Oryzias latipes: one gene and its partner. The protein of the gene in region 2 interacts with the protein of the main gene of each other region in a biochemical or structural test. Links are inferred from orthologs where the notes say so. Each region holds a gene or a part of one and is shown on either strand. Other genes may lie near its edges.

Region 1 (4,271 bases), on a different chromosome or scaffold from region 2:
TGACAAAATCTGAGGCTAGGGCTGCACGATATGAGGAAAACTCGCGATATGCGATATTGGTGATTAATATTGCGATAACGATATAATTTGCGGTATATAAACAAATATCAAACCAACCAAAAACATCATTTCCATTTCAATGCAACAGTTTAAAAATTATACTCCAAATGACCCTCGTCGACATAGGAGGCAAACATCAAAAATAAAAGGGCTCATTTGATTGATCAACAGCGTAAACGGGTCCTTCCGATTGGTTAAATGCATTAAGGTATTTATTTCATCTTTCAATATTTCAAGCGGCCATGAGTTTGTTTTAGCACATTTAACCCTTGTGCTATCTTAGATGACCCCCCCCCCCCTTACTTTGATGTGTTATTCCTAGCATGACAAAGGTGGATAAAGGTGGAAAGATTTCATGTAATCCATAGACACCAGTGAAGATCACAAATAATTGAAGAAAAAAGGTTCAGTGCACTGTCTAATGGGTCTAGATGACCCAACTCCCAATGTTAAAGTGCCTAGGATAGCACAAGGGTCAAGGTAACCATTTATTGCGATTTTCGCCGTCTTTTGCGGTATGCATATTGCAAAGCTTGATGTCGCGATAACGATAAATTTGCGGTATATTGTGCAGGCCTATCTGAGACCAAGAACTAATAACTTGCAAAACCTCATATGACACAATCATAGCAGACTGTTTATCTCATAATTTCACCGTAATTCTTTCTCATACTTATTTATTTATTCCTTTCATGAAGCATCATTGGCACACTAATACTCTGTTTTCATCCTGTATTTGTAGAAACCGTTGTCATTTTTATTGCATTTCTGAATCTATGAAATCATTGGAAAATAGAATATTATGTTGTTAGCCTTCAAGATCTTACTGTAAAAAAAGGTTTGCTGATTCTCTAAGTCACTTAACATACTCTTAACACCTAACATACCTCATACATCAAATTGACCCAGGAACATCATCTCTGTTCCTCACAAATGAACATAACAGGAGGGTTAACAATGTATTTATTTCAATTTATTTCTAATATAAATCGCTGCAGAATATAAGTCGCACCCCTTGCCAAACTATGAAAAAAAGGGCGACTTATAGTCCGGAAAATACGGTAAATTATAATTATATGGTTCTAAAGTTTCATTGCTTTGGATGCCTGGAACTACATGTGTTATGTATGCACACAATAAAAAGGTTAATATTGTTGCAATTATGAAAGTATTGCTTCCTTTTTTCTTCTTTTAAATACAAAACAAATTGATCAAGACAAAAGTTACATGAATTGTTCTTTAAGTATAAGATAGAATAAGGTATGTGACTCTGTGAAGCCAGATAAATAATACAGTAGTTTAAGATAAACTGGTGAAATGGGTCATATGGAACAAGAACACCAGTCAAATTAGAATTAAAGATGAGCTTTCAACTTATGGACAATAAGCACTAGAAATAATTATGCATCAGCAGAACACAGGTTTCTCTTTTTTGGTTTACCTGCCCTCTGTGCTAGTCTCCAGACCTTCTACTTCTAAGATTGCTTCTCTTAATTCTTCCCTGAGCCTCTGGATCTCTTGCAGCAGGATGCCCTTCCTCCTGCGGATGTCCTCCAGCTCAGAGCGCTCCTCTGGGCTCAAGTCTACTGGGACTGCAGGGGAAGAGAAGAATGATCGCACCACTACTGCAGCTGGACATCATAAATGGTTAAACTATGCCTAACCAATCTGGGTCAACCGGCTCAAGTGGTGGTAAGACAAAAGGGACTTGATTGAAACTGAAATATCAGCTGGGGGATATTATAAAAAAAAAAAACATTTTAAAAAAGACCATGGGGGGAGGGGGGCAGACATTAATGGATGGATTTTGACACACAATGATGCCACTCAAGGAAAAGTTTTCCATTCATTCAATTGTTGACTAAATAGTCCAAGCAAATAAGGAAATTTTTTACTGAGGTTGCCGGGTAAATATGACCAAAAACCACTGCACATCACTCTGGCCCAAGTAAAGACCTGTGCAAAAACATCTGAATGATAAAGGTGGTATTGTAATTTGTGCGTTGAAAAGGTTTAATAGAAATAAGTCACAATAGCTTGACCTTGTTCTTTACGGGTAAAATTCTGTAGCCAACTAAGAATCTCAATATAAAACCCAGTTGTTTCCACAAACCTTTGTTGTCAACATTTTCATTTGCAATAAAGTTGTTTACAAAAAAGATGATCCACAATCTTCTGCAGCGTGAAGCTGTCTCACAAATAATTTATTTGAACCACCAACCACGCCCACAGCCTGGTGTAAATAAGGTTTACATTTTAGAAGAAAAGCCTATACATTTAATAAATATTGTTGTATGCACATTAAAAGCCCGACTCAGTGGCAAGTTTAGATCTGCGACGTCAATTTTATTAAACTAGCACGACGAGGCAATCAACGACACACACTGACTGTGTCTTAGGTAGCTGTTTATTTCATTCAGTGCTTTGTTTTGTTGTTTACGTGATTATATAAAACAATTCACTCCTTTGATTTAAGGAAATATGTAAAGCCGTGTTTATCTTCATGTATATTTTACAACTAGCTACGTTTAGCTACGATATTATGGGCAAAAAAACGAAAGTAACCCCACTTACTGTAGTCCAGGTCATCCATTTTTGGCGCTTTACTTTTAGGCATAAATAAATCAGAGTCGAGTGTCATAAATGTAAAAAAAATTGGGATGTATAAAGTAATATATTCTCAAATCAAAGGAAAACTGAACAACCACTGGTAGCGAAATCCTGGGCCGTAGACAAAGAAGGTGGTAACGCCGGAAGTGGTAACTGAGTTTGTAGAGATGTACTTCCGGTCAGATGTTTTTCAAAATAATGATCTCTGGATTTGACTGTGTAAGGAGAATGACAGCAACATGTTTATCGGCTTTGTTTACACGGTCAGAATGAGTATACGTAATAAAATAGAAATATTATGTCGAGATGTAAATATTCCTTATTAAAAGTATGACTTAGTAAATAAAAGCCAGGTTTAATTTAAAAAAGCCTTGTGATAATATACAAAAAAAATCAATTAAAATAAATGAAACATTTAAAAACACTGATTTGTGGAGTTTATACATTGAAGCCATAATCTGTATTTTCCAAAAATTGAAATAAGGTAAACAATTTTTAGAACATTGTAGAAGAATGGTAAATACCACATTCAATTACTGAATGTGTTTAAAATTTGATTCACGAGTAAATTGTAAAATCTGTGTGAACGTCAATTACTAACTTTCTGATAAAGCTCTGTAAAAGTCTGCCTACCATCTGTTGGCTCTGGAACGCAAAATGAAGTCCTTTGGACCTTATGAGTCCACAAGTGAGTCCATGTCAAAGTCATAAACCTATTGAGTTTAGATCAGATTGTTTTCCAAACTAAGAGGCTATGAAAGATGCTTTAAAAGTAAACTGTTCAAATTAAGGAAGGGCAAAGTGATGCACACTTATAAGGCTTGCATATTTTATTGACAAAGTGTGACAAAAAAAAGACAAATTGATGAGCTACATTTATTTGAAAACAGAGCTAAAAACTGTACATTCTAATATGATTTCATTGGCTTAGTAATAATTACAATTTCTTTACAAGCAGCAAACTATAGACATCTTACTGGCATTGTCAAGGAAGGAATCAGACCAAACGTATGTTTAACACTATAACCCCATTCTGGCTCTAAACAACAACAGGATTAGAAAAGTAAGCTTTCATAGCCGGACTTTCAATGTGAACTAAAAAAGGTTTGGCAGATTTTAGAATTAAAGTGTGTGCAGATTCTCACATAATTCAAATTCACAAGAACAACCTGACATGCTGCACTTACATTATGTAGCTATGTAAGCACAAGGTTAGTATAGTGTTCTAGCTGCAATGTGAAGCAATAAACGTGTCAAAAATTTGACTCAATGTCAGAAATGAAGTTGAACCCATTAAGACCTAATGCAAAATACACATATTGCAGTTTCCATTATCTAAAGGGTACCTAGGAACTTACATTTCAAAAATTCATCAATTTAAAGACTTACTATAAAGATTTGGCCCAGCGTGGTATGCTGATTATGATTCAAGCAGTTGGCACATTATTTACTGACAGATCCGATGGCACATGCTGATGATTTATTCTCGAGTCCAACAAAGAATGTAAACAAGATTTACAAAAATTAAAACCTTATTATTTTTGAACAAGTACTGTAAAGAGTCTTTTTAGAAAATTACTTTTGTAGAAGTTCTGCACTGA
Region 2 (2,628 bases):
ATGGCGTTGGGGAGATCCTATGAAGACAGGACAACGTCAGCAATGGTGGAGCAAATGCTCCGCTCAAGAACACATCTGGACCTGGTTCTGGCCAACACCTGCTGGCCCAGATTCCCCCCTTTATGGGTTTACTGCAGTGAACGTTATGTCCCACATTAAATAGAGTTTTTTCACTAAATTGCTTGACTGTTGCTCTAAGGTCCTGATCAGAGATGGCCTTCGTTCAAATTAGGCCTGCACAATATACCGCAAATTTATCGTTATCGCAATATCCAGCTCTGCAATAGGCATATCGCAAAAGACTGCGAATATCGCAATAAATCGTAAACCCAAAATGTGTTAAAGCAATCTTATGGCAGCTTGACGCTTTTAACGAATCAAATAAATCCCTTTATGCTTTGACCAATCAGATGGACGCCTTCCCATTGTTGACCAATCAGATGGAGGCCTATTATGTTAGATGTTTGTCACCTATGTCGATGAGGGTCATTTGGAGTGTAATTTTAAACTGTTTCTAATGAAATGGGAATGATGTTTTTGGCATTTTTCTATTTTTTTTATATACCGCAAATTATATCGTTATCGCAATATTAATCTCTACTATTGCATATCGCAAGTTTTCCTCATATCGTGCAGCCCTAGTTCAAACAAACAGGTTTCATCGCTCCTCAAAACAATGATCCTGAAAACATGGAGATGCGGCTACCGCCTGTTCTTCACGCCACAGAAGACGCCGCAGACGTCCGGCCTCACCTGTTTGTTTGCGAACACGAGCAGCACGGCGTCCCTTAGTTCATCCTCCGCCAGCATTCTCGACAGCTCCTCCCTGGCCTCGTTCACCCTCTCCCGGTCGTTGCTGTCCACCACAAAAATGAGCCCTGCGAAGAAAGCGGCAGAGACCACCGGCTCAGAAAGACACAGCCAGACAGAGGAATCGAACCTGCATTACAAAACCTTTATGCTGGGCTTTGAAAGAGGAGGTTGCCTCTTTGTAACGATGCTATTTCTACAGACGAACACATAAAATGTTGGAGGACTTCTGAAATCTTTGACTGGATCCAATAGAAACTCTTGAACTGGAGTCTTTGGGTTTAACACACGCGTTTGCTTCAACCTTTGTCATTTGGACGTCATGCGCCACTGTGACCACAAGGCGGCGGTGAAACAGACTTTCGAGTGTCGTGATAAAACACGTGAATGTCACGCGGCTGAGATACAGTCAGACAGCTGTGACACTTCAAAGTTACAGTCGGGAATCTTTGACATTCTGTCAAAAGCTTTGCTTCTAAAAAATATTTCAGGATGTTTAACGTCCAGTTTAACTCGTTGCTAGGTTACCGGGTATTACTAGTTAACCGTGGACCACTTTGGCTATAAAAATGGCAGCATCACTTTTGCCGGGTAATTTTTTACCCGATATAATATACAAACAAACAAAAAGTACTTGTCATAAAAAAAATAGATCAAAATGATCAGCACATGATAAATTAGAGTGGGTTTATTTTATTTCCCACTGTGGTAAGTGTAGCAAAAGGAAAAGTCTTCATCAGGAGTGAAGGACTAAAAATGGAAGACAAAACATTTGGCAGCACAACAGCAGGTTGAAGTGTAGAAAAGAGCCTTGAGAGGAAAAGCTCTGTGAACAGCGAGCCGTGGGAGTCCAAACGTCTACCTGGACGCAGCTTTCAAGCCGATCAGAAGTCAACTAGAATCAGTTCCATCAAACTGGAACTGGTTAGCTGCTAAAAAGACAGTTCCTGAATCAAACTTTCTTTATTTGCCCGTTTTCTGTGACTAAACAACAGTAACTTTGACAACACACACATTTTTTAGTGCTGTTCACTGTTGAACTGCTTAATTCTGACCCTACAGGTGATTTTAAAGATACTGGTGCATTCTTCCCTTGTGAGCGTGTTTCTCTTGGTCTGATTGCCGCTCGGCACAAACCCTGTGCTGGTGTCCGATGTTTCGTTCAGTCACTCCAGCTGACCCGAGACTTAACGGATCTTTTTTCCACAAATATCTGAACATATTATTATTGCACTACTTTGATCTTTTATGTATTTTATTGCATTAGTAATTTTATGAATTGTGTTCTTAATTTGCCTAGTTTTAAACTTTCTTCAGTCCTTTATCGTACAGCACTTTTGTAAATTGCTACGTAAATAATAAATGTCATTCATTTATATAAATGTAGTTCTATTTTAAATAAATCAACAAAGCTTATCAGACATGCAAGTATGTATTTTTTTTCCAGGAGAGTCTGGATGAACGGTTACAGACTCCACACATACTGAGCCAGGAGGGTTTAACTCCATGGGAAACCCAGAACCTGTGAGGATTGCTGAGTTTTCCAGAGCCTCTCTGGATGCTCACTGCAGTTGACAAGAATTAGTCCCATATATGCTAGACCTGCGATATTTTCAACAGCTAAGCACATACACAGTCCACACACACAACACATAAACGAAGCCTTGATTGGCTGAGATCCTTTTCCAGGTGACCACTGTTATCATATTTCATGTATTCTTCTGTTTTCAAATGACTTACGTTAACTCAGATAGTCTAATCCCAGGATCTAAGCGTGACGATTTGGGCCTAAAACAACAACACTGATTTGTTGCCATG

The links.
Region 1: the proteins of ADP-ribosylation factor 1 (region 2) and cyth2 are reported together in a solved structure, tested with the Homo sapiens proteins (3 studies listed by BioGRID and IntAct, with this or other methods). The link is inferred for Oryzias latipes from reciprocal best matches to the Homo sapiens genes ARF1 and CYTH2.

The regions. Positions count from the first base shown.
Region 1 is NC_019874.2:19,306,195-19,310,465, reverse strand, and holds the start of cyth2 (cytohesin-2), read right to left. Parts: upstream 2,825-4,271; 5' UTR 2,702-2,824; coding exon 2,635-2,701; intron 1,653-2,634; coding exon 1,502-1,652; intron 1-1,501. UniProt on the Homo sapiens protein: Acts as a guanine-nucleotide exchange factor (GEF). Promotes guanine-nucleotide exchange on ARF1, ARF3 and ARF6. Activates ARF factors through replacement of GDP with GTP.
Region 2 is NC_019877.2:22,745,344-22,747,971, forward strand, and holds part of ADP-ribosylation factor 1, read right to left. Parts: intron 879-2,628; coding exon 754-878; intron 18-753; coding exon 1-17. UniProt on the Homo sapiens protein: Small GTPase involved in protein trafficking between different compartments. Modulates vesicle budding and uncoating within the Golgi complex. In its GTP-bound form, triggers the recruitment of coatomer proteins to the Golgi membrane.